Canis lupus familiaris: one gene and its partners. The protein of the gene in region 2 interacts with the protein of the main gene of each other region in a biochemical or structural test. Links are inferred from orthologs where the notes say so. Each region holds a gene or a part of one and is shown on either strand. Other genes may lie near its edges. The genes, in order: ARF5, RAB11FIP3 and ARF6.

Evidence for each region.
Region 1: the proteins of RAB11FIP3 (region 2) and ARF5 form a complex in vitro, tested with the Homo sapiens proteins (2 studies listed by BioGRID). The link is inferred for Canis lupus familiaris from reciprocal best matches to the Homo sapiens genes RAB11FIP3 and ARF5.
Region 3: the proteins of RAB11FIP3 (region 2) and ARF6 form a complex in vitro, tested with the Homo sapiens proteins (2 studies listed by BioGRID). The link is inferred for Canis lupus familiaris from reciprocal best matches to the Homo sapiens genes RAB11FIP3 and ARF6.

Annotation. Positions count from the first base shown.
Region 1 is NC_049235.1:8,598,618-8,602,696, reverse strand, and holds the start of ARF5 (ADP-ribosylation factor 5), read left to right. Parts: upstream 1-1,269; 5' UTR 1,270-1,375; coding exon 1,376-1,442; intron 1,443-1,967; coding exon 1,968-2,048; intron 2,049-2,400; coding exon 2,401-2,510; intron 2,511-3,095; coding exon 3,096-3,167; intron 3,168-3,694; coding exon 3,695-3,820; intron 3,821-3,922; coding exon 3,923-4,009; 3' UTR 4,010-4,079.
Region 2 is NC_049227.1:40,503,547-40,507,064, reverse strand, and holds part of RAB11FIP3 (rab11 family-interacting protein 3), read left to right. Parts: intron 1-262; coding exon 263-397; intron 398-3,518. UniProt on the Homo sapiens protein: Downstream effector molecule for Rab11 GTPase which is involved in endocytic trafficking, cytokinesis and intracellular ciliogenesis by participating in membrane delivery. Recruited by Rab11 to endosomes where it links Rab11 to dynein motor complex.
Region 3 is NC_049229.1:26,667,969-26,672,243, forward strand, and holds the start of ARF6 (ADP-ribosylation factor 6), read left to right. Parts: upstream 1-1,467; 5' UTR 1,468-1,629; exon of another isoform or gene 1,630-1,729; 5' UTR 1,730-2,215; coding exon 2,216-2,743; 3' UTR 2,744-4,275. Other genes in the region: uncharacterized protein LOC119876490, read right to left, coding at 820-1,431. UniProt on the Homo sapiens protein: GTP-binding protein involved in protein trafficking that regulates endocytic recycling and cytoskeleton remodeling. GTP-bound form plays an important role in the transport of multiple palmitoylated proteins form the Golgi to the plasma membrane.

The DNA of each region.
Region 1 (4,079 bases), on a different chromosome or scaffold from region 2:
GTTTCTTAGTGGCCCAGATAACATCCAGCTGCACCATACAGACATACAGATATATTATCATTTTAATCTTCACCATAACCTCATTAGATAGGGCAGATATTAGTTTCCTTCTGTAGAAAATAAATGAGTTGTGAGGATTGAAGCTAAACCCTCCAAAAGAGGGGGTGGGTGGGGACAGAACTGAGATTTGACTGAGACCTGGAACAATGGTCCATAGTGGGCATTCAATATTTGTTGAGTGACTGAATGAATAAAGGTTCTCTGACTCTCAGCTCCCCTCACCATGTCCAGTCCCTAAGCAATTGATCCTAGAAGCCTCCTGGCAATCCAGTTTCAAATTGCTTGTCCTTGCTCCACTGAGCAGCCTATTAGTCCATTCAAACCAGCAAGTACTGTATTTATTGAGCATATATTAGGTGCCTGGCACTGACCCACTCTCAACCATAGACACAATTTAAATTAATTCCTGTCTTGCTATTTCCCCCTTGGTTGCTGAGTGGGAAAATTACTTACGAAGCACTTTGAGTCTAAAGCCACAAGAGTTTCATAAATTCCTGGATAGGTGTGCATTAAAAATCCGGGTTCCCAGGTCTCTGGCAAAGTGAAGAAGCTTCAGAAAAGCTGCCTGGATCTACTGAAAAGCATTGTGCCCGGGGCCATCGACGCAAAGGCGTTGTTGTCCAGCATGCAGGACAACATGCTGATTGCAAAACCAAGAAGGCCAGCTAGCGCTTGGACACCCTTTTTCCACCACCTCTCTTTCTCACTCCTCTCGAGATTCTACAGTCACTTGAACTACCTGCAACGCTCAAAGCCCCTCTCTGGGCGCTGAGGGGCCAAAGCAGACTAAGACGCATCACAGAGCTTCCGCTCCCCTAGGAGGGTGGTGCATACAGTGGATGGTGCTAGTTCGCTAGAGCTAACTAAACCAGAAAGCAGGGTGGGCTGGACGCGACAAACCAAAGCCCGAGAGGCCGGCCACTTAAGCTGAGGGTCAGGGGCCGTTGGGGAGCATTGTAAACTTTCCTCGGCCCCGCTCGGGCTGCCGGTGAAGCAGCCACAGATCTGCCGGCCCTCGAGAAACGAGGGGAAACCCAGACCCTTCCCCTCTTTAAGCCTGCGCGGGACGCGGCGAGCAAGCGGAGACTCGCTGAGCTTCAGATTTAGCCCGAGCGGGAGCCTGGGGGCGGGGAAGGGGCGGGGCGGGGGCGGGGCCCGGCCGGGGGCGGGGCCGCGATGACGTAGGGCGGGCCGGGACGCGCGGAGGCGGCGGCGGAGCCTCCTCCTCCTGCTGCTGCGCCCCATCCCCCAGCGGCCGGCCGGTTCCAGCCCGCACCCCGCGTCCGAGCCCGCACCCCCTCCCCCGGGCCCCGCCATGGGCCTCACCGTGTCCGCGCTCTTTTCGCGGATCTTCGGGAAGAAGCAGATGCGGATCCTCATGGGTGAGGCAGATCAAGCGCGCGGCCCGGACCGGAGCGTCGGCCCCCGCGCAGCCCTCCCGCCCCCGCGTCCCTCCGAGCCCAGCTCAGCCGGGTCTCTGAACCCGAGTCACCCGCCGCCTAACCCCCCTGCGGTCACTGCTCTCGGGCGGGTCGCGATCTGCAGCGCCGACCCCGGGGCCTGAGCCCGGGAGCTGCGGGCCTGGGTGGGGTGAAGCTCCCTCCGCCCCAGCCAGGCTGGTAAGAAGGGAGGATTCCGCCCTTGGAGACGACTTTTAAGAGGAGCGCAGCCCTCCTCCTCGACCCCTTACCCCTACCCCTCTCCCGCCTCTCGCCCGCTTCGGGGCACGAGTTGGTGCTCACCACCCAGACTGCTCTCAAGGCCTCGAAGGTGGAGGACAGCGCGCACCTGCAGGCGCTAGGGCTCTCCGCCCCAGTCTCCATCAGCTGTCCTGGCCTCTCCCCTTCCCTGATCTCTAGAGGGCTCCCTCGCTCCCGTCTCCATCCCTATGCCCCTCTCCGTTGCAGTTGGCTTGGATGCAGCTGGCAAGACCACAATTCTGTACAAACTGAAGTTGGGGGAGATTGTCACCACCATCCCCACCATAGGTGAGTTCTGAGGCGAGGCGGGGAGGAGCGGGAGGCTGATGGGAGGCCGCCTCAGGGGCTGCTCCCCATTCTGCCTGAGGCCCTTATCTCCGTGCAGTGAGCTGACCCTGACACCAGACACTGCCACCTGAGAAGTGGGTCACAGTTACCTTTAGTTGCTGGATGGTGCCGAGGCAGGGTGAATGTGACCTAGCCCCGCCTGGTCTGTGGACTGCCGGTCCTCTGCGGTTCTGTTCCCATGGGACTTCGTCGTTGCCTTCTGGTTTTATATGTCTCTGATGAATCCACCCAGATTTAATGAGTTCCTTTCTTTCAGGACTTTGTTCTCATATTTTTTCCCCATTATCTCCAGGCTTCAATGTGGAAACAGTAGAATACAAGAACATTTGTTTCACAGTCTGGGACGTGGGAGGCCAGGACAAGATTCGGCCTCTGTGGCGGCACTACTTCCAGAACACTCAGGTGGGGTGGGGCTCCCCAACCCCCAGAGAAAAGGTGTTAGAGCTCCAAACCAAGATGTTGGCATAGGCCCCCAAGCCAGGAAAAAAAAAAAAAAACCTTAACCTCCTTCTGTTCTCATCTGTAGGCTTGCTTCTATTCATCCTTCAGAAATGGCCATAGTCTTCTGAGACTTAGCCACCTTATGCATCTCCTGAGAAGCAGGGATCTGAGGCCATGTGGCCTCGTTTATTTATTTATTTTTAAAGTAAGCTTTCACCCAATGTGGGCCTTGAACTCACAACTCCGAGATCAAGAGTTGTATGCTCTACTGACTGAGCCAGCTGGGTGCACTCATGCTGCCTCATTTAGCTCTGGTCTCATCTTTCCCTGTTCCCTTGCACTTCTTCTAGCTACACTGCTTGCCTGAGGGCAGAGTCTGTATCCTTCGCAGGGTGTCGCCAGTTTGTGCCAGCATGTCTGCAGAACCTTAGTGAAAATTTACTAGATGAGAAGGTTTAGACACAAAGATGGGGAAAAGAGAAAGAGCCAGACTAGGCTATGTCCCAGGTGAGAGTGATTGCTTGTCTTTTCTTCCTTCCCACCCAGGGCCTCATCTTCGTAGTGGACAGTAATGACCGAGAGCGGGTCCAGGAATCTGCTGATGAACTCCAGAAGATGGTGAGCACCCAGAGCCCTGGTTGCTGAGCCCTCGTTGGAGACAGATCTCTGAGATCTCTGTGCTAACATGAAAGTCAGGAAATAGCTTACAGGCTTTGAATGTCTCCCTTTGTGGATGCAGACACAAGGAGTATCTCACCCTGTTTTGAATTTGAGTTGGGTGAAAGGCATATGACTGACTTTTTCCTTGAATTTTCATGTCTTCATATCTGAGAAGTTGGTGGGGAAAGGAGGAATTATATGTGGTGGAGAGAAATATCATCTTACATTCTTGTTTTCCCATTTGGAAATGTCATTTTGACTAGGGCAAGTCATTAGAAAAAGGGTCTTTCTGGATATAAGTCCAAATGGCTCCAAGCTGATTTATGACTCTGTCTTGTGTTCAGCAGTAGACTACGCAGTATTACTTTTTTTTTTTCCCACAAATCTGGTAGGAGGTAGGAAAGGGTGCTCCCCTACACAGTGGGGAAGAGGAAGCCTGGAGACTCCGCTAGGACTCCAGACTCCATCCCCTTCACCTCCCTCAGCTGCAGGAGGATGAGCTGCGGGATGCGGTGCTGCTGGTGTTTGCCAACAAGCAGGACATGCCCAACGCCATGCCTGTGAGCGAGCTGACCGACAAGCTGGGGCTGCAGCATTTGCGCAGCCGCACGGTGAGGGTGCTCCCTCTCCCAAGGGAGCCACAGGCTGGGGCGGGAAGTCAGGGCATCCCCTTTTCTTCCTTGCTGCTGATCATTCTTTCCTTTTCCCCGCAGTGGTATGTTCAGGCCACCTGTGCCACCCAAGGCACAGGCTTGTATGATGGGCTCGACTGGCTGTCCCATGAGCTGTCAAAGCGCTAACCAACCAGGGGCCGGCCCCTGCTGCCCGGAAGCTCCCGCGTGCATCCCCGGGACAACCAGATTCCCGGAC
Region 2 (3,518 bases):
GTCCTGCTAAGGAAGGGGTTTTGTTTTAGAATGGAGCCGATGGGCTGCACCTGTTTCCTCCGAGCACCTGAGCAGGAAGGAACAGGTGTGTGGCCACGTCCCCCACTGCTCCAGCCAGTCCTGAGGTGGCGCTGAGGGAGGTGGGCTCCCAGCGGTCCGGAGGAAGAGCCAGCGTCTCCCGTAGCCAGGGCCCATCCACGGGGTCGCAGATAACCTGGTGGGTCCTCCCTGTCTCCTGAACTGACGCTTCTCGTCTCTCTAGCACCGACCCGCTTGCTGCAAAGCTGCACAGCATCCTCACTGATGAGGCTTTTGAGTTTTACTGTAGCCAGTGCCACAAACAAATCAACCGCCTCGAGGATCTTTCCGCTCGTCTGAGTGACCTTGAAAAGAATAGGTAACTGGCTAGTGCCTGGCCTTGCTGTTCGTCCAGCGGGAGGGACGCTCGCCCCCTGCCCCGCATGCGCCAAGCCTGTGTCGGGTGCCCTCTGCCCCTGCTGTGTGCATGCCTCCATCTGAGCCACTGCCGCCGACCCCGGGTGGAAACAGCCTTCACACGCTGTGGGTCCTGCATGGGGAAGTCCGTGTGAGGCAAAGTCTGCACCTAGAAAGAGCAGCCTTCCTCATTTTACTAAAGGAGTCACATGAGAGGGCTTTGTGAAATGTAAAGTAAGCTTCGTCTTTAAAAACAGATCTGGGTCCAAGTCCCTGCTCCGCTGGTTGGGTATACTTGGACCCCCCCCCCCAAAAAAAAAAAAAACAGATCTGGAGGGGCGTCTGGGTGGCTCTGTCCCTTGGGCCTCTGACTGCTGATTTTGGTTCAGGTCGTGACCTCAGGGTTGTGGGATCAAGCCCCACGTCAGGCTCCACACTTGGCGTGGACTCTGCTGGGATCCCCCCACACCCCCTCCTCATGATCTCTTGCTCTAAAAAACAAAAACAAAAACAAAAAAACCCCACACATTTGTAAAGAGCTTCCAGGAGTCTGTTTAAATCAGGTGAGCCTTCCCTTGGACCTTTTTTTTTTAAGATTTTTTTTTATTTCTAAGTATTCTCTGCCCCCAACATGGGGCTCAGATCCACAACCCCGAGATCAAGAGTCCTGTGCTTCACCGACTGAGCCGGCCAGGTGTCCCCGCACTCAGTTCTGTGAGGCTGCCTCAGACCCTGTTACCACGATACCCACCTTTACTACCCTGGGGTCCAGCATGTGCCCGCCGCCCCGGCCTTGGTCCCCGTCCTGTCACTCGGTTCCCGTGTGCGTCCGTGTTTGCCTCCCTCTCCGTTCCCTGCACCAGCCTGCTTAGGCCAGAGCTCGGGGAGGAGACAGCCCTTTTGCTGGCTCCCCACGACTTGACAGTTGAAGAAAACGTGCTTGAGTAGCTTGTGCCTATGGGCATGTCCACTGAGCACGTGGTTGATGAAGCTTGTAGTGCAGGTAAGCCCCTGGGGTCCGTTGGTGGTTTCCCACAGCAGCACCCGCCTAGTGGACAGGGCGGGAAGGGGTGCTGTGGGCCCCAGGGCGGCTGTCTGCGGTGAGCTCTTGAAAGAAGGGGCCTCGGGCTGCTGCTGCTGGGAGGTAACATGAGTTGTGGTAGGAAGGAAGCCATCCTGGTCGGCAAGCTTGCAGGAGTAGTCCTCTAGAAACTGCTGCCTGGCCAAGCCAGGCCCTCCCGGTGGGTCCCCATGGCTGGCAGCCCTGTTGGACTGCTCACCTGCCTCTGGGTCCAATGCACCACATTCAGTATCTTCAACCTTTTTCTTTTTGCATTTTTTTTTTTTTTTTAAGATTTTATTTGAGAGTAAGAGAGCAAGCAAAAGAGCACGAGCAGGGGAGGGGGCAGAGGTCGAGGGAGCAGGAGCCCAGTGGGGCTTGATCGTGACTCTGAGACTGTGACCCCAGCTGAAGGCGCTTCACCGACGGGGCCCCCCAGGCGCCCCCAACCCGTTTTTTTTATGTTCTGTGCAGCACCCACCGCACAGACTGGAATCCAGCAAATGCCCAGTCGAGTGCAGAGGGATCTTTGTGGCCAGTCGGCCGCTTCAGAGCAGGGTCTGGGGGGAGGTCCCCACAGTTCTGCTGAGAACCTAGCCTTCCAGGGAGACTGGGGGGAAATGTGGCCTTTACTGACTCCCAACAGCTGCTGGCCTCTGTCGCAGGGAAAACTAGCCTTTCATCCTGTGTGTGTAGCTGGTGCCCAGAGCTCCAGGAAGGCCCCTCCACCTGGCTGGGGGTCACCTGTGCTCCCCGTGCAGAGGCTGCTGTCCTGCCTCCATGGGTTCCAGGCCAGGAGTGCCATCTCTGTATTTGATAGTAAACACAGAGACACGTATCTCATCTCTCATTATTTATGTATTCCTGAGACACAGAGAGAGGCAGAGACACAGGCAGAGGGAGAAGCAGGCTCCATGCAGGGAGCCCCACGTGGGACTCGATCCCAGGACCCCGGGGTCACACCCTGAGCTGAAGGCAGATGCTCCACCGCTGAGCTCTCCAGGGGTCCCTCATTCCTGGACACTTTAGAAGTGATCTTTTGCTGTGTTGACAGCCTGCTGCAGGACGGCCTCAGTCGCCTCTGCTGGGCCTTTTGAGGGGAGCCTGGGGCGCAGCTCAGTGTGGCTCCAAGTCCAGCCCCAGCCGTGCTCCAAGGAGGACCCTGTTGACATGGGCTCCTATGCCGTTAACACTGTTGCTGTAATCAAGACACAGCTGTCAGGAAATTTGTCCCAGACGCTGACGTTACGGAGATCTAGGTCTTGCTAGTTGGTTTCCCTGGAGTTGCCACAAAATAGATGTATTGGGTCATAGTTTGTGGACGGCAAAAGGTGATTCGGTCCCACCTGTATCTGGAAGCTTTGATGTTAAATCTATCGTCTCCCAGTGAACCTCAGAGCGTGCCTCTAGGGATCCTGCTTTTCAGGGACCCGGGAGCCTCCAGGAATACAAGTTGTTTTGTAGAAATTAACAAGAATATTAAGAAATGAAGAGTAATAGGTCTGTTTTCAAATTATAAACCCCCGAGGTGGCCTGGCCGGGCTGTCTGCACGGGGCCGACATGCACCCCGAGTCTGTCCTGTCCTGGTAGGGCCGGGAGTCCGGGGATGCTAGGATGCACAGTGTGGTGTCGCTCGGGGTCCTGCCAGGAGAGGGGAGCACACAGCAGTTTGAACCGGGGACCAAGCGATGAGGCGCGGTCTGCTCAGGGGAGGGAGCTCGCGACAACAGCAGCTTCAGGGAGCAGCCCGCCACCAGCACTCAGGGCAGGCTTGCCACGGACGCCCCTCGGCACCCCGCCAGCGGGGCTTGGTGGGTGCCTCCCCTCCAGACCCTGAGGCAGTCTGCTCTCTTGCTGCAGGAGGCCCCCCAGGAGGGGTGTCCACAGAGGCATCCGTGGCCCAAGGCTCGCAGAGCCCTGAGGGTGCCGCTGCTGCCGCTGGGCAGGGGTGGGGGAGGTTCTGGGGTGAGAGGGCCCACATGTAGCCGAGGGCCCGTGGACACGGGGTCCCTGTGGCCCCCT
Region 3 (4,275 bases), on a different chromosome or scaffold from region 2:
AGGCAACACTTTGAACCCTAATCTTCTCACTCCAAAATCCTTCCTTCAGTTTTATGACAGTGGAAAGTAAGATGGATCAAGGCAGATGGAAAGTAAACTTGGATCAGTCAGAATATTAACAACTCCAGTAAGTTTATTTCAGCTGAAGCTTATAAGGTTATCACCTGACCCATCTACCATTATCAAATATTCTTATATTATGAAACAAGTATGTTATCATATGCTTCTATAGCATCTTCCTTAAAAAATAACAAACCCTATTTCCTGTTTTTCCTCCCCTTGGTTCCTTTATTTTAGGCTTCGCCTTACTTTAAGTCTAACTTGATCTCTAACTATTTGCTACAAAAAAGTTTCCGAAAGTCTTCCACAAACATTTTGTTATTTACTCTGAAACGGAGTACACAGAGCAAGGTCGGCACTACACTCGGTTTACACATGAGATAACAAACTTAGCAAGGTTAAATGCCTTAGATCCAGGTCACAAAAGTAGTCAGGCTTTCTGACTCTAAACCCTAGTGCTAAGATTATTATTGTCTGGGATTTTTAAAAAAATACTTTATTTATTTGTTCGTTCGAGAGAGAGAGAAAGAGAGAGAGAGAGAGAGAGAGAGGCAGAGACCCAGGCAGAGGGAGAAGCAGGCTCCACGCAGGGAGCGCAATGCGGGACTCGATCCCGGGTCTCCAGGGTCACGCCCTGGGCTGAAGGCAGGCGCTAAAGCGCTGGGCCGCCCAGGGATCCCCTCGTCTAGGATTCTTAAAGAAAAGCTAGGTGGTTAAGTTACTGCTCAACACACTAACTTAAGTATGAAAAGTTATCACCTTAAAAAGTTGAAAACGCAGCAAGGGACTGGAACTCTGGTTAACACTGTCATTTTTAAGTAACAGGGTCTGGTCCCGAAGAGATGTGTAAGACAGGGCTCGAACACCGAAAAGCGGGGTTTCCTGGCAAACCCAAGCCTGGTAGAAGCGCCGCACTGCTTGGCCGACTCCACACCAAACGCGGGCCTCCCACGTGTCTTTCAGGAAATGCACAGAACACGCGGGATGAGGGAGGCCAAGGACGGGCTGGGAGACGTACAAACAGCATATAGGGCTTTCCCGGGTGACTGAGGACGCGCGGAGGCTGGGGCGGGCCCAAGGGAACTCGCTGAGCACCTGGCGGGCACCGACGTCCGGAAGCAGCCTGGGGGAGGCTTTCACCGCGGGAGAGGGCTGGCCGCGGGCCCCGCCCTCGGGAGCTCCCCAGTGGATTTGCCTGCTCTGGTTCGAGAGGGCTGGGGGAGGCGAGAGCGCGCCACAGGGACGCAGAAAGTCCGCGTACAGCGCCAGGCGGGCACGGGTCAGAGTCCGAGTTTCGCGGGTCTGGGGCCTGACCGCAGCCGCGAGGCCTCCAGGCCGCCGTAGCCCCGCCCCCTCGCGCGTGGCGCCCATGACGCTGGGCGCGCGGGCCGCGCTCCTTACAGAGCTCGCTCTCACCGAACGGTCGGCCTTGCTGCGCCTGCGTGATCGGGAGGGGAAGTGAGGCGGTTTCTTCGGCGCCTTTTCCGGCGGCGGCGGCGGCGGCAGCGGCAGAGCTGGGAGGAGGCGGTGGAGGCCAGAGGGAGCCCGCGCTCAGGGCGGCGGCTTGAGGTAACCTCGCGAACTGAGCTGGAAGGACGAGTCACCTGGGCCTCCGCTCCCTTCTGGCCTGCCGGCAGTAACTCCCTTCTTCCTCTCTGTGTCTCTGCAGGCGGCGCACCGGATCCCGGCGAGGATCAATGACCTGACGAGGCGCCGGAGCCGCGCTGACTCTCGGGTGGCCTGGGTCGGTGGTGAGCCCGGTGCTCGTGGACCGGCGGGTGGGCCGGAGGGCTTCGACCTCCCGCGGCCGAGTGAAGAGAAGGCGGAGGAGCGGGAACCGCGGCGGCGCTAGCGCGGCGCTTGCGGGGGGAAGGGCAGTTCCGGGCCGGGCCGCGCCTCAGCAGGGCGGCGGCTCTCCCGGCGCAGACTCAGGGCCCCGGCGGCGGCGGCGGCTGGAGGAATCAAGTTGTGCGGTCGGTGATGCCCGAGTGAGTGGCGAGCCTGGGCCTCTGCCCCGAGGAGGCAACTCCCACGCAGGCCGCACGGGCGCCCTCGCGGCCGGGAGGCTTCGTTTCGGTTTCGCGGCGGCTGCGGCGTAGTTGGCTGAGGGGACCCGGGACACCTGAATGCCCCCGGCCCCGGCTCCTCCGACGCGATGGGGAAGGTGCTATCCAAGATCTTCGGGAACAAGGAAATGCGGATCCTCATGTTGGGCCTGGACGCGGCCGGCAAGACAACAATCCTGTACAAGTTGAAGCTGGGCCAGTCGGTGACCACCATTCCCACAGTGGGTTTCAACGTGGAGACCGTGACTTACAAAAACGTCAAGTTCAACGTATGGGATGTGGGCGGCCAGGACAAGATCCGGCCGCTCTGGCGGCATTACTACACCGGGACCCAGGGTCTGATCTTCGTAGTGGACTGCGCCGACCGCGACCGCATCGACGAGGCCCGCCAGGAGCTGCACCGCATTATCAATGACCGGGAGATGAGGGACGCCATAATCCTCATCTTCGCCAACAAACAGGACCTGCCTGATGCCATGAAACCCCACGAGATCCAGGAGAAACTGGGCCTGACCCGGATTCGGGACAGGAACTGGTATGTGCAGCCCTCCTGTGCCACCTCAGGGGATGGACTCTATGAGGGGCTCACATGGTTAACCTCTAACTACAAATCCTAATGAGCATTCTCCACCTATCCCCCGGAAGGAGAGAAATCAGAAACCCATTCATAGGATTATCGCCACCATCACCTCTTTCAATTGCCACTTTCTCTTCTTTTGAATTTGAACTCTGGAGTTACTGTTCTACGGTTGGGGAGGGGGGGGGGGTTTAGGGGTTTCCTTTTTTGTTTCTCTTTCTCCCCCCCCCCCCCCTTTTTTTTTGCTTTGCATTAGGATGCTCCGATCTGACATTTGACATGACCACAAAGTGCTAGATGCTCTTACTGACTTCCAGCAAATGGGATGGGGGAAATATAGCAGTTTTTGGTAAAGTCCTTTATAATAATGGTTTGATTTTTTTATTTCGAGAGAATCTTTTTTGCAATGTATGCTTTTTTCCTTTTTGCCCAGTTTCCTTATCACTTGCTGTAGATGGCTTATTTTGCATTCATGCAGACTATGTTGCAAGTCTGTTTCATCTAGTAAACTGAAAATTATTGCTTAATCAAACTGCCGTTTGTCTTTTATATTTAAGGCCTTTACTCCTCCCTTATGAGTTTTACCTTTAACTTAGTAATTTCAAATGTGACCTTTTATATCTAAGACCAGTATAGTAAACTTAGCCTACAGTGGCAAATAATGAGTAATATCATTGTAATATGTTCCAGTTGCACATCAGTATGTTAAACAGGTAATGTAAGAAGTTCTTTGAAATGTCAGCTATTAAGTTCTGAAACATACATCATGCATGAGTAGGGCTAAAACGCAAGTTCCTTATTACATAGCTAACTTACACTGCATAAAAAGATGAAAGTGTAACCCGTCAACAGATTTTTTTTCACTGCAAAAGTTAGCAACTTTGCTGTGTTTCCCTCTTTTTTAACTTTAAAAGTAGACTCTTTCCAGAAAATGGAGCAATAATGGTGTAGGCCACACACAGATGAGATATCTGTAGATATTTTCAGTGACATTGGGGCAAAACTGGAATATATACTTTTACCACATTTCAAATGTCTAAGACCAATACTTTAAAAGTTACTAGAATGTTTACTTTGTTCATTAATAAAAGCGTTTAACAATTCAAATTATACACATTTTCTACCTAGTTGAAAGAATACACATTCCTGTTTTCACATTAGAGCAACTGATTAAGCTGAAGATAGAAGTTTTTTTATAATTGAGTGATCCACATCTCCATTAATTAGAACACTGGAAAAGATGTTTTATAAAAAAGGTATTTAATTCTGTTTGATTGTAGGATTAACTCATACAAATAGATCTCCTGTTGGTTCATTAATACACTATCTCCTTTAAGGAAGGAAATGTGATGAATGAATGATGTGTAGACTTGAGAAATGACAATTAAAGGGGAAGTAGGATGAAGAAAGAACCTACAGATGACAATGAATGTAAACTTATTTTTCTTCAAGGGTAAGCAGTGTGCTCACTGGTGATATCCAGATCCTAGCAAGATTACTTGCTTAGCTTGTTAGGACCCGTAACTAGCTTATCGAGACCACTATGATGATACCTTGAACCAAATGTTAATG